3 linked regions of the Tamandua tetradactyla genome follow. The protein of the gene in region 2 interacts with the protein of the main gene of each other region in a pairwise test. Links are inferred from orthologs where the notes say so. Each region holds a gene or a part of one and is shown on either strand. Other genes may lie near its edges.

Evidence for each region.
Region 1: the proteins of EHHADH (region 2) and KCTD6 interact in binary tests that used the Homo sapiens proteins (3 or more experiments, as listed by UniProt). The two-hybrid records come from large-scale screens. The link is inferred for Tamandua tetradactyla from reciprocal best matches to the Homo sapiens genes EHHADH and KCTD6.
Region 3: the proteins of EHHADH (region 2) and ACTG1 interact in binary tests that used the Homo sapiens proteins (3 or more experiments, as listed by UniProt). The two-hybrid records come from large-scale screens. The link is inferred for Tamandua tetradactyla from reciprocal best matches to the Homo sapiens genes EHHADH and ACTG1.

The regions. Positions count from the first base shown.
Region 1 is NC_135341.1:26,375,669-26,383,246, reverse strand, and holds the start of KCTD6 (BTB/POZ domain-containing protein KCTD6), read left to right. Parts: upstream 1-4,545; 5' UTR 4,546-4,644; intron 4,645-4,685; exon of another isoform or gene 4,686-4,719; intron 4,720-5,043; exon of another isoform or gene 5,044-7,578. UniProt on the Homo sapiens protein: Probable substrate-specific adapter of a BCR (BTB-CUL3-RBX1) E3 ubiquitin-protein ligase complex mediating the ubiquitination and subsequent proteasomal degradation of target proteins.
Region 2 is NC_135336.1:3,928,878-3,936,135, reverse strand, and holds the start of EHHADH (peroxisomal bifunctional enzyme), read left to right. Parts: upstream 1-4,254; 5' UTR 4,255-4,323; coding exon 4,324-4,397; intron 4,398-7,258. UniProt on the Homo sapiens protein: Peroxisomal trifunctional enzyme possessing 2-enoyl-CoA hydratase, 3-hydroxyacyl-CoA dehydrogenase, and delta 3, delta 2-enoyl-CoA isomerase activities. Catalyzes two of the four reactions of the long chain fatty acids peroxisomal beta-oxidation pathway.
Region 3 is NC_135332.1:73,752,703-73,760,334, forward strand, and holds ACTG1 (actin, cytoplasmic 2), read right to left. Parts: upstream 3,034-7,632; 5' UTR 2,899-3,033; intron 2,544-2,898; 5' UTR 2,538-2,543; coding exon 2,415-2,537; intron 2,320-2,414; coding exon 2,080-2,319; intron 1,802-2,079; coding exon 1,363-1,801; intron 1,282-1,362; coding exon 1,100-1,281; intron 1,014-1,099; coding exon 870-1,013; 3' UTR 190-869; downstream 1-189. UniProt on the Homo sapiens protein: Actins are highly conserved proteins that are involved in various types of cell motility and are ubiquitously expressed in all eukaryotic cells.

The DNA.
Region 1 (7,578 bases), on a different chromosome or scaffold from region 2:
TAGAAACTGAAATATGGCTTGAGAGGCTGGGGCCCAGAGAGATGGATGAGGGCAATAGAGGAGAATGGACAAGTGGGGCAGGGCACGGTCCAGATCTCATTGGAGGGAGTTTAGGTTTGATTCTGATGGTAGTGGGAACCACTGAAGGAATTTAAAGCATGCAGGGGTGGGGGTGGGGGACACAGGCAGCTTTGTGTTGTCAAAGGGACTCATGGTGGAGGGAGGAGGATGGATTGGTAGTGTGGCGGCACAGAGAATGAAAGAGACCAGAGAGGAGACTACTGCTGGTGTCTGGAAGGGACAAATTGGTGGCTGGACCCAGTGTGATAGTGGTGGAGATGAACAGAGATGGATTCAGGGGCTTTACTGAAGAGGAACATTTTGCAGGGCTAGATTCTCTGGCTCTGGAAAGTGAGAGGAAGGAAGAAGCAGGCATGACTCAAAGCTTCTGGTTTGAGCAGCTGGGTGGATGGTGGTGGCACCATTCGCTGTGCTGGGAACTATGTACGTTTGGGGGTGGTAAAGAGAGAGAGTTCAGCTTTGTGCATGCTGAGGGTGAGATGCCTGGTGGTAGACCATTAGAGGATTGACTGCGAAGGAACAGAAAACTGCAGGGAGTCAAGCAGAGCTATGTTCAAATCTCCTCTCATATTTCCTGTGTGGTTCTACATAATGAGGAACTAACACCTTCCCTAAAAGCTACATGCATGAGCCTGGAAGCAAACCTTCAGATGACTGCAGCCCCAGTTGACATCTGGACTGCAAGCTCATGAAATACCCTACCTAATCACTTCTAAATTCTGGACTTACAGAAACTGTGAGATAATGTTTATTGTTTTAAGCCCCTAAATGTTGGGGCGATTTGTTACAAAGCAATAGACAACTAATACAGAGGGTAAAATCACTAAGCACAGTGCCTCCACATAGTAGGGGCTATAGAATACATAGGATCTGTAGATCTGGAGTTCAGGAGTGAGGTCTGGGCTGGAGGGATGGATTTAGGAACCTTTGGCTTAGAGACAGTAATAGAATATATGGACGGGGGTGAGCCAGTCCACAGAGAGGGGCGGACGGGGAAGAAAGGGTAGCCTTTGCGGTGGTTGGGAACTGTATGCACCCCAGACAGTCATGTTCTTAAAGCTAATCCATTCCTCTGAGTGTGTACCTATTGTAAGTAGGATCTTTTGATAAGGTTACTTCAGTTACTTTATCAAAAGGTAACTTTTCAGAAGCATGGCTCAGGGTGGGTCTTAATTCTCTTTCTGGAGTCTTTTATGAGAGAATGAAATTCAGAAAAAGAAAAAGAAAGTTATGGAAGTAAGAAGCTGAAAGCAAAGAAACCTGGAAGAGAAGGGAGAGACTAGCAGATGCTGCCATGTCTCTTGCCATGTGGCAGAGGACTCAAGGATCGCTGGCAGCAGGTCTTTGGAAGCAAAGCATTGCCCTGATGATGCCTTGATTTGGACATTCTCATGGCCTCAAAACTGTAAGCTTGTAAGCTAATAAATTTCTATTGTTAAAGTCAATCCATTTTATGGTATCTGCTTTCAGCAACCTAGGAAACAAAAACTGCCTTGAATAGACACTTGGGTATGAAAGGTGGGTAAAGCAAGAGGAGCATTTCCATGAGTTTGAGAGGTGCTGCAGAGGAAGGAGGAAAACTAGGAAAACATGGCACCCTAGAGGCCAAGGAAGAGGCTCTCCCTAGGAGACTATGGTCAACCGCATCATTGCAGAGAGGCCAGTCTAAGGACATTCTTCTGGATTCAGCTTCCAGCAAGGCCATTTAGGTACAAAGGTGGGCCCTGAGATCAGATTTATTGTTGTGGGTTGAGGTGTTGGGGGAGATGGGGAAGACACCAAAAAAGAAAAAGAAAGGGAAAGAGACACTTGGGTAGGGATCAACACAATTATGTGATGATATTGTGAGCCACTGATTGTATACGTTGGATGGACTATATGATGCATGAAGACATCACAATAAAAATATTAATAAAACAAAAACCAAAACAGCTAGCCTTCCCCAACAAGCTGGCAGTCCTGCTGGGTTAAACAGCTCCTAACGTAAACCTTTTCTACTTCCAACTCCAAAACCAAGAGCTCCAGATGATTTACAGGAGAATCCTACAAAACACTCAAACTACAGAAAATCCCAGACTTATAGAAGCAGCTCTAGTTTTACAGACATACATTCCTTAATTTATTTTATGAGGTTTATGCAACTTCAATAACAAAACTAGACAAAGGAAATAATAAGAAAGAAAACAGGAGGCAAATCTTACTCATAAATGTGGATGCAAAAACCCTAAATAAAATATGAGCAAGCAGAATCCAGTAGTATGTTAAAAAAAATAATACATTAAAGTGCATTTATCCCAGGAATGCATGGATGGTTTAATATATAAAAATCCATGTGTGTGATTTATTACATTTAGAGAATTAGAAAAATCCCAAATTTGATAAAATTCAACATCTATATTCATAATGTTTATAATAAAGCTAGGAAGCAGAATAGTGTTTCTTTACTCTGTTAGAATATCTATCAAAAATCTACCACAAACCATACTCAGAGTTGAACCCTTAGAAGCAGTTAAGAACATGCAGGAATGCCCATTATCATCACTGTTATTCAACATTTTTTGGAGGTTTTAGTCAATGCAGTGAGACAAAGAAAAGGAAATAAAGACTGGACAGAAGATAGCAAACTGGCTTTACTTATAGACCCTATGATATATATTTTTTGACCCTATGATTTTTTACAAAGAAAATTCAAGAAAACCTGCAAACTAAATATGACTAAGAAAGAGTTCAATGTGTGCAGAATACAAGATTATCATATACAAACTAATTGCATTTCAACAACCTGCAATAAATTATAAAATATAAATTGAAAATATAATTTACTATAGCAGCAAAAAGTTTAAGATACCTAGAAGTAAGTCTGACAAAACCACTGATAAAATTAATCCTTTCTAGTTTTCAGTTGGGGAAACAGAAAGCCTCGAGAGGAAAAATGACTTTTGAAGGGTACCAGCAGGTAAGAAGAAGTTTTGGATTCTCAACAGTACCAAATCTCCGAGTCTTGAGTGTTGGGTAATTTTGTTATTGTCTTTTTGTAAAAGCTAAAATTCATTTTACTTTCCTGATTACAAATTCAATACTCATGCATTCTAGAAATTACAGAAAATTTAGAACACTAAGACTAAATAAGTAACTCTCAATCCCATCCTACTATCTAGAGAGCGATGATCAATGATTTCATATATTTTCTTCAAATTGTTTATGTATATTTGTTTTAAAAAATAAAATTATACCACAGATACCATTTTGTATACTGATTTTTTCACTTGCATTTCCCTATGTCCTCACTTAGTCTCTGTGAACATAACACTTGATTATGTTGATGAAGCATGTATCATTTAACCTATCAATTTAAGTTTTCTGAGAAAAATAAAATGCAAATATGACTATGATAATCAAACTGATAAAAGTTAAACTGAAAAAAAAAGTTAAACTGCAGAGTCAACTCATGCACATGTAGACAAGATATGTGAATAAAAAAGGAAAATGGCAGGACCAATATCACATAATAGACCCCACCTGGAAGGGGAAGTGATCTGGCTAGCAGGAAGAGAATGGGGTTTGGAGTGAGGAGGCTGGGGACCGAGTCCATGCTTGGAGACCAATAACGTCTGAGACTTTAGGTAATTCCCCAATCTCTGCACCCTTTGTTTTCTACCTGGTTACTTGGGAGCAGTAACCACGCCAGCTCATTTGGGTCACTGCTGAGCTCCTCCAGGCCTCAGGGCCTTTGCAACAGTCCTTTGCTCTGCTGAAGTCGGTGCTGCCCTTCTTCCCTTCTGGCTGCCCCTGCTGTCCCCTTCAGCCTAGCTGCCCCGCCTTACCGGGGCCTATCCACCAGGCCTAACAGGTGGCCCCAGGGCTTCCTCACATCCCTTATTATCCCTGTATTTACACAACAGCGGGATGGCGCTTGAGTAACAGTCCCCTCTCTCACAAAAGGCAGGGCCGGGAAGCGCTGTCCCCAGGCCTCGTATCCAAATCGTCTTTGGTCACCGCGGCTCCTTCTTATTTTCCATCTAAATCCTTGATCATGCCTCTTGCAGCACTTATTATAATGTGTCTTTATCTTATCTACTGGCTCTTTCCTTGAGTCCTGTCTGTCTTCTCCTCTCATTAGGACCCGCCTCCGTCTTTGTGGCAGTTGCACCCTCCTGGCCTGGCCACATGGTCAGGGCTCCATAAATGTCACAGAAATAACTGAGGAGAAACAGCTGTGTGGTCACCAGCCCAGAAGACGCGGCGAAGAGTAAGCCTGGGGCTGGGCCCACCCGGGCTGCAGGTCCCGACAAATAGAAGGGGCGGGGCCTGCGGCTTTGGGGAGGAGCCTCGGGACTTCGGGGGCGGGGCTTTAAGGCGGTGGCACGGCGGGCTTGACCGCGCCGCTCAGGCCCAGCCCTGCTGAGCCTCTGTGGCCTCCTGCCTTCCGCTGCCGCTGGGGGACGCCCGCGCTCGTGGCGCCGCGGCTCGGCTGGGGAGGCGCCGTGCGCTCTGGGCGGCTGGCGCCGCAACTCCGGGCTCAGGCTCATTCGTCCTCTCTGCTGCCATAGCCACCGGGCGCAGGTTCGCTTGTCCCCGCGCTCGCGCTCTCGGGCTGTCCGCACCTCCCGGCCGGGCTGCCGCCGCCGCCGCCGCGCAGTGAGTGGGGAAGGAGCGGCGCCTTATAGGGCCGGGGCTCGGGAGGGCCGGGCGTAAGGAGACTTCCTCTCCGTGTGGTCGGAGCAGCTGGGTTGAGGAGAATCTGGGCGGGAGAGGAGCGCTCGGAGTCGGGAGATGGTGGGGCCGTGCTGAGGGGACCACTGGGAGCCCGGGCCGCGCGCCCCGCGCCCCGGGGCGGGCGCTGCCTTGCGGCGGGGCTGTTCGCGGCCGAAGTGCCGGGCCTGGGCGCGGGTTCCCCGGCCGACTCGGTGGGGTCGCGCGGTCTCTGCAGTCTGGGGGCCCGGGCTCCACCGCGCGTTCTCAGCGGGAGATCGGCGCCCCCCGCTGGGACCCGGAGCATCGCCAACCCCACGCCGGGATTGGGGTCGGAGTAGGGGCTTCGCTTGCACGGCTATCGCTAATCGCTTCCCTGACGGGGGTACCTCGGGGTTTGCTCGGAAATTATTGTTTTGGGCGGTGGTGCTTTTTAGCCACCGCTTGCTCCAGTTTAAGGCGGACAGCAGGGCTATTGAGCCCTCTCTTCGGGAATTTTCTGCCCCGAAAAGATACCCAGATGTGCAGCTGAGCTCTTTATGCCCACGTGTGTATCGTGGCAATTTTAAACGCTTGATGTCAGAGGTGGTAAATGGCTGTGGTATTAGGGAGTCCCTGAAGCACCTGCTAGGTCGACTGGGGTGGGAGTTGAATCTGGGGATGGGATGGGGAAAATGAAACGTGACAGACATCCTATTTGGATATTCTGCTGAAGTTAGCATGTTTCAGTTCAAGTACACTGGAACACAGTTGATAAATCCAGTTTTAGGACTTTGTAATAGAAGAGGCTTGGGTGGCAAGGAGATTCGTTTGGCTAAAAACGTCTGGGGTAGCCTAATGCTTCTTACTATTTTCCCCTGGCATGTTTATTATCTCACTGTCATAAATGCTGAAGTACATCCCAGTATTCAGGATATACGAAAGAAGCTAGGGGAAAGCATTTAGCACAGGCCTGACCCCAAGATCGAGATGTTTTCAAGTGAACAAACATGTAATTAGTAAGAAGGAAAATAATCTTTGTACAGTGTTTGGTGGACTGAGGGAATTTGCTCTTTGGTTTTAAACTATCAGTCCACACTGATACATCATTTTGTGGTTAAGCACAAGCCTGATAAGCATCAAGGATTTAGTGGTCAGGATGGCCATAAGTGCCATTCGTAAATTTTGTGGGATTTGAATTTTCATAAATCTTATTTTAACAAAAATACTACCACATAAAGGAATCCTAGGGTGAATCCTATGAATTGGTGTTATGCATCGTTTGGATTTTGCTATTTGGGATTTATTTAAAATGAAATACACCTATTTGTTTGGCTCTTGCTTTACCTTGGAGATAAGTCCTGAGTCATGCTTTAGAGAAGCTCCTGCTGTGGTTAAGAGCTTAGATGTCTGATAGCCTCTGTACAAGCTGGATGCTCTTGTTTACCCATAGTTCTCTCTTCTGGAGTTTTGAGGAAAAAAGGAGCTGGGGGAGATTAGAAGCAGATTAATGTGGCCTTCTCCATAATTGCCTTGTCTCTAGGTCAAATGCTGTAAATTATTTGTGTTCACACTTTCAGGTTTACATATTTATCACAGGAATTTTATTTATGCTACTGCTATTAGTGTTTTTACATTTGCATAATACTTGCCAGTTTGTGATGGTTTTAAATTTAGGATCTCAATTGTTTTCTCCATTTCCCCAAAGGAGAAGCTTTGCGAGTGATTTAACTGGAGTGGTTTACTTTGAGAGTGATTTACTCAGGGTCTCGTAATTAAGCGGCATTGGAATACAGATCCTCACTGTCAGTCTAGCCCTCTTTTCCTCTGAGCTGGTGTGCATGTCACTTCAGAACACTAGTCCTGATGCCTTTATTGTTGTGCCTAACATGTATGGTGTGATTCCTTTTGGGAAGGTGATGTTATTCCAGTTTCATCTTGCAGAAACTGAGGGTGAGAGGAATTTTATGCCTTTGTGACTGGGGTCATTCAGCTATTTAGTATTAAGGCCACTTTTCAACCTAGACCTTTCTTCTGGACCACATGGTTGAGAGATGAGAAAGAGAAGATAGATTTAGGAAAACATCCATTTTTTCAGTGGCATAGTTAAGGGTAGCCTAACATTATAATCACATTCTCCTTGTGCTCCTGGCTACTTGTGCCGGCCTGTATGTTAATCCAGAAGACTCTTTAGATGTTGTTGAACTAGTTATTATAAAAAGTATTTCACTTTCAAACACCCACGTTTCAAGAACAGAGCAACTTATTACAAAGATAATTTTAAAGCTATGTATAGGTGGAGGGAATTTATTTGCATCGTCTTTTCTGAAGGCCAGACACAAAGGTTTCAGTAGGGTGCACTTTTTAAAGAGCTACTTGGAAACTCCAGGAAGGCAGGTAGTTATGGTTTCTATTATTTATTTATGGTTTGGAGGTGTATATTGCAAGGTACTGGTTGTTATATAGGAGTAGGACTTTTGCCCTGGGCAATTCTTGGTTTGTCAGAAATGAAAAACCCAGAATATTTGCATTGAATTGGTTCTTCATAACTATAAAGCTGTAATTGCAATTCTGTAGTGGTAAGAGTGACTTTTAGGGATTCTTACATTATTGTTTAAGTTATTAACATGTTAAATTGTGCGTTCTTCAGATTTGCCACTTTAGACAATTCTAAACAGTTGCTTTTTAGGCTTCTATAAATTCTTCAGTGTGTGTTCCTTAACTTAATTACCTGCTAGCATTACACTCAGAATTTCTCCATGAGTGGCAATTAATCTTGGAAGCTAAATTTGGGTGAATTTATTTATTGGGTGCTTTATTTTCTCT
Region 2 (7,258 bases):
AGACCCCCGTTTTACATCCATTAGAATGACTGTGTGGTAGTTAAATTCAGGTGTCAACTTGGCTAGGTGAAGGTGCCTAGTTCTATTGCTGTGGACATGAGCCAATGGCACGTGAACCTCATCTGTTGCTGATTACATCTGCAGTCAGCTAGGAGGCATGCCCGCTGCAATGAATGATGTTTGATTTTATTGGCCAGTGCTTAAATGAGAGAGCTCAACATAGCACAGCCAGAGCAGCTCAGCATACCTCATTTCAGCACTCACTGCTCAGCTCAGGCCTTTGGAGATGCAGAAAGGAATCACCTTGGGGAAAGTTGTTGGAATCCAGAGGCCTGGAGAAAAGGCCAGCAGAGATTGCCCTGTGCCTTCCCACGTAAGAAAGGATCTCAGTTGAAAGTTAGCTGCCTTTCCTCTGAAGAACTGTATGTTAACTAAATAGATCCCCTTTTATTGAAAGCCAATCTGTCTCTGCTGTATTGCATTCTGGCAGCTAGCAAACTAGAACAGACTGCTATTCCAAAAACAGAAAATAAGTGTTGGAGAGGATGCAGACAAATAGGAACACTCATTAATTGCTGGTGGCAATATAAAATGGTACAGCTGCTGTGGAAAATAGTTTAGTGGTTCCTCAGAAAGCTAAGTATAGAACTGCCATATGACCCAGAACCCCACTACTCAGCATATACCCAAAAGAATTGAACAGATATTTGCACACCAATGTTCATGGCAGCATTATTCATTATTAAAGATGGAGACAACCCAAGTGCCCAACAACTGATGGAATGTATAAGTAATATTCATACAGTAGAATATTATTCATTCCTGAAAAGCAATGAAGTCCTGATGCATGAGACAACATAGATGATTTTTTTTTATGTTTTGCATGTGCAGGCTCTAGAAATCAAACCCAGGTCTCTGGCATGGCAGGTAAGAATTCTGCCACTGAGCCACCATTGCACTGCCCAACATGGATGAATCTTGAAGACATCACGTTAAGTGAAATAAGCCACACACAAAAGGCCAAAAATTGTATGATTTTACTGATATAAAACAATTAGAACAAGCAAACTCATAAAGTCAGAAGCTAGAATATAGTTTACCAGGGGATTGGATGGGAATAGGGAATGGGAAATTAAGGCTTAAAATGTTCAGGGTTCCTATCTGGAATGATGGAAATGTTTTCATAATGGGTGTCAGTAATGGTAGCACAACATTGCTAATGCAATTAACAGCACTGAAATATCTGAATATGATTAAAAGGGGAAATGCTAGTTCATATCTATGGTAATAGAATAAAAATATTAACAAAAATCCATGGTACTACACTACCCAAACAGTAAACCTTAAGTTGAACAATGGACTATAATTAATAGAACAGCTATAAAAATGTGCTATCATCACTTGTATCAAATGTTTCATACCAATGCAAGGGGTTGGTGATGGTGTGCTGTATAGGAATCCTGTGTTTCATGCATGATTGTTCTGTAAATCCACAACTTCTCTAATAAAATAAAATTAAAAAAAAAGATTGATAGGTACTCACCATTCAGTAGCTCAGATTATATTAGTTGAAAAAAGGATTATATTGTTTTCTATATGGGAATTAAAGTAGGCTCCATGGAGGTGGTGCTAGGTAAGCCAAACTAATATTGTGATAACAGTTTGAAATCACCCATTATTTTCATGTGCAGCAAATGATGTATATATATATATATATTTTCACATGGGCAGGCACCGGGAAACGAACCCGGGTCCTCCAGCGTGGCAGGCGAGCATTCTTGCCTGCTGAGCCACCGTGGCCCACCCAGCAAATGATATTTTAATAAGAAAATACTACAGAAAAGAATATTGTTTTGTATATGGGCTTTTGGTGTTGCACCATTTCTTCCCAATATGACATTTAATTTTTTTTTTAAGGATTGATAGACTGTTGTTGATAGGCTGGCTTTTTACGGGGTGATCACTGAGGCAGTTGATGAATTGAATGGGGTCTGACTGCTATTTGTTACCAGGGCCACAAGGCAATCACTACTTTGCTAAGAGTTGGAACCTACTTTTTTTTCAAAAAGCAAAAGAATGTCTCTGATAAATCCTTAATTATGGCTGACATTTGTGAAACATCAGTGAACAAAATTATTTCATTGCTTTTTCCTCTGAAACGTCCAGGCTGCCTTCTGACCACTGGAGGGACTGTGGGACCAAACACACTTAGAGAAATCTTGTTTTAGCCTAAAGTTTTGGAGGGAAGGGGTTGTGCCTTGTTTATTTTTACAGTCTTGAGGCTAGGCCTAGCTCATAGTAGGTGTTTTCATTTGCTAATACTGCCAAAAATGCAATATATTGGAAATGGGTTGGTTTTCACAAAGGGAATGTATTAAGTTACCAGTTTACAGTTCTAAAAGGCCATAAAAATATCCAAGCTAAGGGTATCCAGAGAAAGATAACTTGACTCAAGAAAGGCCAATGGCTTGGAATACCTCTGTCAGCTGGGAAGGCAAATGGTTAGGGTATCTGCTGGGAAGGCAAATGGTTAGGGTATCTGCTGGTCCTTTGGCTTCTGGATACCCTGGGGCATTTTCTTTCTGCATCTTCAAATGGTCTCTGTGCGCGTTAGCTCTGAAGCTGTTCCGAAATGATTCCTTCTTAAAGGACTCCAGTAAGCAGATTAAGGCCCACCTTGAATGGGCGGAGATGCATCTCCATGGAAACCACCTAATCAAAAGGTCCCACCCACAATTGGGTGTCTCACATCTCCATGGAAACAACTTAATCAAAATGATCCCACTCTACAATACTAAACCAGGATTAAAGAACATAGCTTTTCTGGGGTACACAACAGTTTCAAACCAGTACAGTAGGTACTCAGTTTATAGAGGAATGAATGAAGTGTTAGAAGCCACAATCCTTAGGAATGGCAGAAGATAAAAGGGAAGCATTAGGCAGACAAGAAAACTCAAAGGCTTCACTAGGTTGCCGTGTGATGTAAATGTTTGGTTGATAGTACCACATTAATTTAGGTCATAATGTGTGTATCTTATGTGTTCAGGTGGGTATCATATCACATCATTGTCAGAGCCCCAGATATCTGCTCCAGAAGGATCATGAAGATGAAAACTGATGAAAGCATTTACATTAAAAAAAAATTTTTTAGTTAAACAGTTTTATTCACACACTATACCATCCATTCTAAGTGTACAATCAATGGCCCTTGGTATAATATGTATTCACCACCACAATCAATATGAGAACATTCTCATTGCTTCCGGAAAAAAACCCCATATTCCTTATTCCCCCATTATTGGCATTTAGCTTGGGTATAGTGCCTTTGTTACAATTAATGAAAGAATATTATAATGTTATTAACTATAAACCTTAGTTTACATTAACTATTTTTTTCTGTATACTACCCATCTTATTAACATCTTGTAATAGTGAGGTACGCTTGTTCTAGTTCATGTAAGAATTTTATTATTTTTTATAATTAACCACCGTCATTGTCCACTCTAGGTTTCATTAAGTTATACAGTCCCAGTTTTTATCCTCCAGCTTTCCTTCGGGTGACATACATTACCCCGGCCTTTATCTTTCAACCATACTCACGCTCTGCTTGTTACTCTCATTTACAAGCACTGTATTGTGCTTCCATCACACAATATTGTGCTATCCATTTCTGAACCTTTACAATCAACCTTATTAAGCATTCTATATTTCCTTAGCAAGGGAATTCCCATGAGATTCCCTTGCCCAATCTCTATCCCTTTTCAATGTCCTGGTAAAATGTGCTCTCAGACTTTAACTCCCAGAGTTTGCTCATTATAATTAGTTCATATTTGTGAGACCACACGATATTTGTCCTTTAATTTTTGGCTTATTTCGCTCAACATGATGCTGAGGGCTTCTTGACCAGTTCAGTGAATCTGAGTCTTGTGAGAAGGCAGTTTCTCTTGGCTCCGGAGTTGACACCTCCACTTGCCGCAGTCCCAGCCGGTTTACCGCTGTCCTCCTTGCTCTATTTCGTATATGGAGAAGGATGGCAGTCAAAACAGAAAAAGGGACCACAAACGTTTGTAGACCCCACAGGCCTTCGGACAGCGCTTCCTGTCCTTGTGAGTGGGCGGGTCCGGGAGAGAAGAGGGCTTGGTCTGAGGGTGGGCCACGAGGCCCAGGGTGCTGGCCAGCTGGCGAGACGGAGCCGGGCGCACGAGCCGCGCGGGGCTCGCATTGGCTCAGCTGGCGCCCCTCCTCGCGGGGCCGACCCGGTGCCGCCTTCAAAGAGGCTTCTCCCAGCGGCGACGACCGAGGCCACCTCAGCGACGGGGAAACATGGTCGAGTACGCGCGGCTCCCCAGCCGTCTGGCGCTGATTCGCCTCCGAAACCCGCCAGTCAACGCAATCAGGTAACAGGCTCGGTTATCTCCAGCCAGGGGCAGCTGCGGACTCGCCCGTCGGCCTGCTCCGGAGGCTCGGCCTCTCCCCTGCTGCTTTAACGTGAGAAAGACGCTAATGCGGACTGAGACCTGGTGCGCGCCCGGGCTCTTTGCATAGGTTAGCTTGCTCAGTCACCGCTGGGAACCCGTCCCTCTTTACTAGGAAGGAAACGGAGACTGAGGCCCATGGCGGCTGTAGGTGGGAAAGGCTGGGATCCAACGCGGTCTGTAGACGCCAAACTTTTCCGCTTCCTTACAGCTTCGGTTTTTCTGGCATGGATTGATAAGCAATGTGTTATCAAGGACTTTAGCACTTGGACAATAAAGAAGGTTAGCTTTTGTGTGTGAAGGTTCACTTGTGTGTGTGTGTGTGTGTGTGTGTGTGTGTGCGCGCACGCGCGCGTATCAACTCAGTGAGTAAAGGGGAACTGTGTCCTGGCCTAGAAATGCGGTTATTTCTCCTGATCTGTTCTAAACCTCAGGGTCTTAGGGCATCAGTGAAAAACCTATGTTAGAATTACACTTTAAGTAACATTTTTCTGAAAAGATTCTGTGCAATTTATCTTCTTTTATAACAGCACGGGGTAAAGTTCAACTTCCTTGTGAAACTCTTTAGCCCAGATCTGTGCAAAATACTTAGAGCATTACTTTTCAATGTGAGATTAGTGCTGTCGTCTTGAAAGTTAAAGAATTATTTTATAGGTCTCCATATCTCTGGAAAAAGTATACTGATACATCGGCCTCAAGAAAAGTCAGCCACCCATCTACAGGGAGTAAGATCAGAGAAATTATCATACACAAAGAATCATGTTGTATAAAGTGTAGAAAGATCTTTTTTTCTTTCTTAATTACTTGCCTGCTGAAGCTCTTAATCACATACCTGCTGAAATAAAAGAGACTGAATGAGGAGATCTGCTGATTTTAAAAATTTTTTGTATTTATTTATTTTTAATATGCCTATGTTTATTTGCTGGTCTGCAAATAGAAATGTCCTATTTTTTAGACTTTTAATTTTGAAATAAATTCAAGCTTACAGTTTGCAAAAATAATACAAAAACAATACAGAGAATTCCCAAATACCCCCACACAGATACCTAGATTTACCAACTTTGAAAATTTTGCCACGTTTGCTATATCGTTCTCTCTCTCTCTCTATTTCTCTATCTGTTGTATAAACATTTGACAGCACATTGCATATATCATTCTCCTTTAACACTGAATACTTCCATGTTTATTTCCTAAGAACAAGGATAGTCACTTAAGTAACCCACATTAAGTACAGTTAAGTTAAAGAAATTTAACATTGATAGAACGCTTACAACCTATATTCTAATTTTTGAATTGTCTCAAAATGTCCTTTGTGGCATTTTCTCCTTCCTTATAAGATCCAGTCCAGGATCATGTATTACACTTAATTGTCATTGTCCCTTTAATCTTATGCTCGCTCCCTCTCTCTTGCTCTCTCTCTCTCCTTTTAATAAATTGTGGTAAAAAAATAACCAAACAGAAACTCTGCACCCATTATACGTTAACTCCCCATTTCTACCACCCCAATCCTCATTCTTGGTAGCCTGTACTCTACTTTCTATCTCTATAGATTTGCATGTTCTAGTTATTTCATTTAAATTGAATCATAATATCTGTCCTTTTGTGTCTGACTTATTTCACTCAAGGTTCATCCACGTTATAGCTTACAACATAACTTAATTACATTTTATGGCTGAATAATATTCTAGTATATGTATATACCACATGGTGTTTATCCATCCAGCTGTCGATTGACACTTGGGTTACGTTGACCTTTTAGCTATTGTAAATAATGCTGTTGTGAACATTGCTGTACAAATATCTGTTCAAGTCCCTGCTTTCAGTTCTTTGGGTATATACTTAGAAATGGGGTTGTGGGGTCATATGGTAGTTCTATGTTTAACTATTTGGAGAGCCATCAGTTTTCTAAAGTGGCTTCACCATTTTACTTTCCTACCAATGAGATATGAAGATTCTTATTTCTCCATATCGTTGTGAACACTTGCTATTTTGCCTTTTTAAAATAATAGCCATTCTAGTGGATGTGAGTTGGTATTTCATTGTGGTTTTGATTTGCATTTCTCTAATGGCTAAAGAATCTAACATCATTTCATGTATTTATTGGCCATTTGTCCATTTCCTTTGGAGAAATAACTATGCAAGTTGTTTGCCCATTTTTTTGTCAATGATTTTTTTATTGAGATAAAATCATCCAGAGTATACAATCAGTGGTTTACAGTATCATCGTAAAGCTGTGCATTCATCATTACAATAGATTTTTGAACACTTTAATCCAAAAACAAAATTAAGAATAAAAAGAAAAAGAACACCCAAAACATCCCATACCCCCATACCCTCTATTGTTCATTTATTTTTTTGGTCTTTTTTTTTCTTACTCGTCTGTCCATACACTGGATAAAGGGAGTTTTAGTAACAAGGTTTTCATACTCACAGTCACACCTTAAAAGCTCTGTAGTTATTCAGTCATCTTCAAGGATCAGGGCTTACTGGATAACAGTTCAACAGTTTCAGGTGTTTCCCTCTAGCTACTCCAATGCACCAAAAACAGAAAGGGATATCTATATATTGTATAAGAATAACCTCCAGAAATACTTCTTACTCTATTTGAAATCTCTCAGCCTTTATTTTGTTTCATTTCTCTTCCTTCTTTTGGTCAAGAAGGCTTTCTCAATCCCATGATACCAGGTCCGGGCTCATCCCTGGGAGTCATTCCTATATAGGGGAAGGGCAGTGAGTTCATCTGCAGCATTGGCTTAGAGGGAGGCCATATCTGAGCAACAAAA
Region 3 (7,632 bases), on a different chromosome or scaffold from region 2:
GATAGTGGGCTGCCACATACAGGTGGTCTAAGGGGTTCCCCCAAAACCAGGCCCACCCAATGAGACCTTCTTCCTATACACTCAGCTCCTAGCTTGGGAGAAACTAAATCGGTGCTTCTTCAGAAATGGAGTTTACCGGGCAGCTTCCAAGACCCCTGCCCCCATCCCCCCACGACAGGAGCCAATGGCCTCTTTACTGCAGCACTTTTATTTTTCTTTACACGACAACGTGTTGCTGGGGCCTAATGTTCTCACATGACAGTAGAAAACCAAACTTTGTTGTCATCTCTCAAAGATTTGAGAATTGAGTACAAAAAACCTTACATAAATTAAAGGATGAATAAATTTACAGGTGTAAATGCAAACCGTTTTCCACCTCAGGGCAAGTAGCGAGCCGCGGTGTTCCGGAGGGAAAACATCAGGAAAGAAAGGAGATTGGGCCCCAAGGCTCGGGGCGCTCCCCACCTGTCGGACCAGCAAGGCGGAGCGAGCACCCGGCAGAGCGCTCGCGGAACCCGGAGAAACCCCGGCATAGCCGCGGCTCCCGCGCCAACAGCCTGCGTGGGCCGGAGACAGCCCCCGCACTTCTCCACACCTCACCCGGGTCACGGAGTGCCCGAGCCATGACGGTGGGGGTTTAAATCAAAGATATGTACAGGGTATTAAAACATATACCAAGGAAACAGTTAACTTCGAATACAAGATCAAGATCAGCAACAAGTTCTACGCTCCAGTGCTGACGGGACAGGCTTCCAAGACGAGTTTCTCTCCGAAGGCTTATTCCAGTTTCGCGAGACTGGCACAAGGCGCGTCCGGGCCGCCGCGTACCGCACGGGCTCCCGCAGCGACCCCGGCCCAGCGCAGTCCGTCTAGAAGCACTTGCGGTGCACGATGGAGGGGCCCGATTCGTCGTACTCCTGCTTGCTGATCCACATCTGCTGGAAGGTGGACAGCGAGGCCAGGATGGAGCCGCCGATCCACACCGAGTACTTGCGCTCCGGGGGCGCGATGATCTGAAAAAGAAATAGAGGGCCTCAGTGGACCCGAGGCCACCTCCCAGCTGGGGGGAAGGGGGAGCGGGGGCGGGACCGGAACCCACCTTGATCTTCATGGTGCTGGGTGCCAGCGCCGTGATCTCCTTCTGCATTCTGTCGGCAATGCCGGGGTACATGGTGGTGCCCCCCGACAGCACCGTGTTGGCATATAGGTCTTTACGGATATCCACGTCGCACTTCATGATGGAGTTGAAAGTGGTCTCGTGGATGCCGCAGGACTCCATGCCTATGAGACAGACCACGCCCCCTCAGCGCCCGCAAGGCCCCGGGGCGGGGGTTGGGGAGTAAGGAGGTCCCCGGCACCTACCCAGGAAGGAAGGCTGGAAGAGGGCCTCGGGGCAGCGGAAGCGCTCGTTGCCGATGGTGATGACCTGGCCGTCGGGCAGCTCGTAGCTCTTCTCCAGCGAAGAGGACGAGGCAGCCGTGGCCATCTCCTGCTCGAAGTCCAGGGCCACGTAGCAGAGCTTCTCCTTGATGTCGCGCACAATCTCGCGCTCGGCCGTGGTGGTGAAGCTGTAGCCGCGTTCGGTGAGGATCTTCATGAGGTAGTCAGTCAGGTCCCGGCCGGCCAGGTCCAGACGCAGGATGGCGTGGGGCAGCGCGTAGCCCTCGTAGATGGGCACGGTGTGCGTGACGCCGTCGCCGGAGTCCATGACGATGCCCGTGGTGCGGCCGGACGCGTACAGCGACAGCACGGCCTGGATGGCCACATACATGGCAGGGGTGTTGAAGGTCTCGAACATGATCTGCGAAAAAAAAGGGGCGCTCAGGCGGGGCCAGGGCCGCCACCCCCCATGCTCACACGCGGGCCAGCATGCCACCCAGGGGAGTGGAGGGGAAGGGAGAGAAACGCAGGCAGAACACACACGAGAAACCTTGAGGCTTCAGGGAGGGAAGGCCAGGAGAGGAACAGGGTCCTGGAAATACCGAAAGAGACACTTGAATTTCAGAACGAGAAAAAAAAATAAAGAACAGAAAAAATAGTGCGGGAGGCAGGGGCGGGGTCCGAGCACCCAGCGCGCACCTGCGTCATTTTCTCTCTATTGGCCTTAGGGTTCAGGGGCGCCTCGGTCAGCAGCACGGGGTGCTCCTCGGGGGCGACACGCAGCTCATTGTAGAAGGTGTGGTGCCAAATCTTCTCCATGTCGTCCCAGTTGGTGACGATGCCGTGCTCGATGGGGTACTTTAGCGTCAGGATGCCCCTCTTGCTCTGGGCCTCGTCGCCCACGTACGAGTCCTTCTGGCCCATGCCCACCATCACGCCCTGCGAGGACACTGCGCGTCAGGCCCCCGCCGCCCCCCCCCTTCCGCCCGGCGCCGCGAGTGGAAACCGCGCCGACCCTGGCGCCTTGCGCTCACCTGGTGTCGGGGGCGCCCCACGATGGAGGGGAACACGGCGCGGGGCGCGTCGTCCCCGGCGAAGCCGGCCTTGCACATGCCGGAGCCATTATCGATGACGAGCGCGGCGATCTCCTCTTCCATAGCGCTCTGCGGGGCGGGGCGGGGCGGCCGAGTCAGCGACCCCTCCAGGATCGAGCGCTTGGCGGGACCCCCAAACCCCCAATCCAAGCTCGGTAACCGCCTGGACGCTGTACGTGACCCCCACCCTAGGCGTTCGGTAGGGGACCCCGCCCCGCGCCACAGCGCCGCCCTCGAAAACCCCCCACCCAAGGCGCAGCGCTCACTCTGCGGGAAGCACAGCACGGGCTGCCGACTCGGGCCCGACCCGCCAGCCGCCCCTTCTCCCCAGACCCACGCCAGCCCTCTCCGCCGAGAACGAGGGTCGGCCGAGGGGTGCCGGAAGACCGCGGGGCGGGGCCGAAACGCGCAAGCCGGGCCTTACCTGAAACGGGCGGCCGCGGCGCGGTGGAGCGGAAGGAGCAACGGCGAGAACACAGAGCGGGGCCGGCGGCGGCGAGTGAGACCGAGCGCGGCCTCCCCCGCCGCTATTTAAGCGGCAACGGGGCGCGCGCGTGGACCGGCGGCGCGCGCGGCCCAGAACATGTCCTTATATGGCGATCTTGCCGAAACCCGAATGCTCATTGGCCCGCCCGCCTGGGGCACGTGGGAACCCGCGCGCGGGCCCGCCCCCCGCGCGCTCCGCCTCCCAACGGCCCCGCCCGCGCCGCCCGCGCCGCCCCCGCCGCGCCGGGACCCCGCAGGGGCAGGGCCGGGGACGCGAGGCGCGGGGATTCGGGTACCGCAAGATAGGGGACATCGCCTGGGGTGTACGGTAGGGCCTGGGACTGACCGGCCCGGCCCCGCCCCGGGACTGCCGCGCCGTGGGGGAGGGGCCCGGCTGCGCCCCGAAACTGCCGGGTTGGGCGCGGAGCCTGCCCAAGCCGGGGTGTGCCACCCTCACCCCCACCCCGGCCCGGCTGGGGGCTTTGCTTTCCGGACACCTCCCGCGGAGCCGCTTCTCGAGCTCGGCTGAGAGTCGGGGCCGCCAAGGGCGCTTCCCAGGCCGGACTGGGGGAGGGGACTGGGCGGTGGTCCCAGTCGGCCGCCCGCGCGCACAACCCGGGCCCGACGCGCTGAAGGGTGCGGCTCTGCGCCGTGCCCAGGTCCCTTCGTGGGAAAGCGGAGAGCGCCCGGCCCGGGCCACCCAGAGGCGCCGACCCTGAGATCCTTTGTCACCCAGCTCTGCACCGCTGCCTTGCAGGCCCGATGGCCCCCGGGGGTGGGCGCCGCGCTGGATTTGGGGCCAGCTCACCCCAGTACAGGGGTGCCCACCTTGTGGAGTTAGTAGGGAAACTGAGGTTGAACGAGGGAATCCGGGACAGTTGAGCTCCCATTGCTGGACAGGGTGGGGGCCCCCATCTACTACTCTGTGTCCTCTGTGAGCTAGGAGGGCAGGGCTGGGACCAAAACAGAAAGGAGCCTAGGGACCTCCAGGCACAGCCACCCCAGCCCCGTGCTCCGAAGCCAGGTCCCGGGGCTGCAGGCTGTTCCCGGGTGCAGGGCGCCTCTTCTCCCCCAGGAAGTTACATGAAATGACATGGGCCCTGGCAGCCCTGCGTGCACAGATTCTTTGGTCTGTATACTCAGGGGAAAACCAGGTTTCGTGGTTTCCATGGGCTTATTTGGAAGCTTCCAGAATTGTTCAGTATAAAACTATATTAAACATTGACAGTCACAGAGGAACCTCGCTGGCCGGCCAGGGGTGGCGGTGGAGCCTGGCACAGCCAGGCAAGGGCCTGGTCCAAGGTCGCAGGCCGTCAGCACTGCAATCGGGCAGGTGTCTGGGGGTGGGAGAATTGGTGCCTGGCACCGGACTCCTCACCTGCCCGCCCCGCCCATGCGGGCTGGGGCCCTCAGCCCTGCCCGGCCAGCTGGTGACCGCCCCTCTCTGACGCCCCAGACCACCGAGCTCCCAGGCCTGGCAGGGGCTCGCTGAGTCTCCATCCTCCTAGACTTTCCAGGGGCCGGTCAAGGCGCACGGAGCGCGTTCCCCATCCTTGGAGAACGTGGTGGGGGGGGACGGACCTCCAGGAAACCCACTCCGACCCCGGGCCGGCATGCAGCTACAATAGGGGACAGGCATTCCGCTGGGGGCCCAAGTCGCGGTGGCACCTCCAGGGACCTGGGGCAGGTGTCTGCCAGGCCCTCTCTCTACTCAGCTGGAGGTAGGGGTGCCTGCCACCTCGTCGGACTGAAATTTCCTCTAAAAGTCCTTTGTCTGCGAGTGCGCCGGGGAGGGGGCGCTGCGCCCGGCTTCCTAGGCTGCTTCCTGGGGGGGGATAAGGAGGGAGCGGAGGACCGATGGACCCCTGTCTCTGCACCCCCTTAACAGCCCGGAGGCCAGGTGGGCCGCCGGAGGGTCGTGGGGGAAGTGGGTGGGGATGAGGGGAACCTGGGTCCGCCGCGGTGGGGGAGGGGGAAGGGCAGCTTCTTCCTCTTCCGCGGATGTGTCACCGGCTGGGGGGTGCCAAGGTGCGGCCGCAGGTGCGGGGGGCGGCGGCGGCGCGGCCATATTTGGCGATTTCGGCGCCGCGGGAGCCCCGCCCGCCGCCGCCGCCGCCGCCGCCGGGAAGCCCGCGGCCGGGGCGCAGCCTCGTCCCCGCCCCGTGCCTGCTGTCGGCGGCCCTGAGTCACCGGCCGGGCGGGGAGTGGGGGCGGAAGTAACGGCCGGGGGGCGCCCGGGCCCGGCGCTCCTCGCCTTATTTAGTCACGGAGGCCGCGGATTGGCCGGCGGGGCCGTGGGGCGGGCCGCGCGAGTGCGGGAGCGCAGGGGCGAGGCCGGCTGGACCGAGAGCTGGGGTCGGGGGTGGCGCGGAGCTGGAGGCCTGGAGGAGGGGGCGCGGAGACGCCCGGGAAGCACCGCCCGAAGCCCGAGTGAGTGGCCGGGGCCGGGGGTGGGGGTCCGGGCTCCCAGGTAGACGGCGGTTCCCGGGGCAGGGGTGGGGGCGTGCAGAATTCCACAACGCGATTTTTCTGTTTTGCTTCTGGGCAGTGCGAGGCCTCGCCCAAAGTCACCGGCCTAGCCAGCTCGGTACTGGCTTCCTAGGTCTTTATCCCCGCCCTGCTGTGTTGCTGACCATTGTCTCCTTTCATCTTAAACCCATTCAGTGGGTGAGAAAACAGCGGCCCCAGAGGTGGCCTTGCCCTCAGGGTCCTCCCCACAAGTCCTTTCTGCACCAGTGTTCTCTCCTTGCCCCAGCCTCTGTAGGACACTCCCTGGGAAAGCAGTCACCTCTGCATCTCCTCACATGGCCCCCAGCTCACCCTCCTCCCAGCACCTGCCCAGGTTCCTTCCCTTCTTCCACCGGCTGCACCCACGTATCCTGCATTGGACCTTGAACCGAAAGTGCCTGGTGAAATCCAAGTAGTTGAGTTTAATGAGTAGTAATGTACCAATTAATCCCTTGGTTAGTGTCTTGATTATGTTACTTGTTGCCATTAGGGAAAACTGGGAGTCTGTGAGAACTGTTTCTACTGTTTTTCTACTGTAAATCTGAAATTATTCCAAAATAAAAAGTCTATTTTAAAAATCCAAGGGAAAAAAAAGTTTGCCTGTCCTCAGCTCATGTTTCTCTTCTCCCAGGCCCTTGCAGACAGATCAAATCAGGGGGATTTTCCCCGGTTCCTGATGCCTAAAGTCCTCTCTTGCACCCTGAGCAGCTCCCACGGGCAGGGGCGCCCTGAGAGGCTCTGTCTGTGCTAAGCTGCCGTCCCCCGGGCTGCCCTGCAGGTGAGGCCAGGATCTGGCTGCCCCGTACACCCTAGAGCACAGGAGGTCCAGCCCAGTGTGTCCTGGGCTGCGAGGCCCCTCCACCCCGCCCCACCTCCTCTCCACAGCCACCACCGCGGCCCTGTGGGCACTGCCTGCGCCCCGCTACCGTTTGTCCTGCTGTGCGCCGTCCACAAGCTTTCTGTGAGTTATCCAGTCCCTGTCCCAGGGGGGCTTTGCAACCAGGTTGTATTCCTGGAGGGGAAACTGAAGCTCACATCGTACCCCTGGCCATTCAGTTGGTCACGGTACAGCTGGGCACATCACATCCTTGGCGGTGAGCGTGTGCCTGGACCGGAGGTCTGGCAGACTGGCTGCTTCCCCAGCTCCCTGGCTCCCCCCGGGGATGGAGGGCGCTGGACCCTCTGATGAAAGGAGAAGCCCACTGGAGTTTATCCAGCGTCCCCATTGCCTTGCTTCAGTGCAAAGGAGCCATGGAGGCTTCCGGAAGGAGCACTGGGCCAGGAGCCAGGACACCTGGTTTCCAGGCCCAGCCTGGCTTGTTTAAGCTTCTCTATGCCTTGTTCTCCTTGACTGTAAGAAAAAGGGGTGGGTGGTGACGTGGGGGACATGTGCCCATCAGGCTCTGAGGCTGGGAGCCCTCCTGCACTGGACAAAGGGCCTGAAGGCAGGAGGCCACCAGGTGGCCCTGCAAACGTCCCACCCCACTCCCCCGGCCTGCGCTCGGGTGTTCCCTTCCTCTGACCATGAGGCCTCAGGCTGCCCATTCTGGATGATGACAAAGCTTGATGGGCTCAGTGTGTGTCAGACCCGACACTCCTGCCCCACACAGGCCTTCCCTCCATCTGACCCTCAGCAGGGCACGTACAGGGTGAGGAGAACCGCAGGGGCCACAGAACACAGGGTGAACCCCATGAAGTCAGAGGGGGTCCGGAAATAGAGTCACAGCCTGTTCCTCTTGACCTTTGCCCTCTGCACAGGAAGGGACCTCATGCTCCCTCCAGGACCATACCCCCTCCTGAATGTTGCTATTTATTTGAGACTGTCCCCACTCCCGCACCCCAGAAATGGTAGGTTCCTGGGGCGCAGCTGCTTATCCTCAGTATCAGAGCTGATGTTCCCACAGCTGGGGCAGTCCTGGCCCTGGACCCTTAATAGGCAGTGAGTGGAGGGGGTGGGAGGGGCTCCCACCTCTGCAGGGGGTCTCTCCATAGGAGGCAGGTAGGCTAGGGGTGTTGGGGCAGGGGGCTGGCAGGGCCCTTGGTGGGGGGGGGGGAGTTTGGGAGAAACTGCCTTGTCTTGCCCCCAGACCTGACTCCAGAATGCAGAGGAGAGAAATGGCTGGGGGAGGGCCCCAGGCCTGACTCCCCCTGGGACACTCTAGAG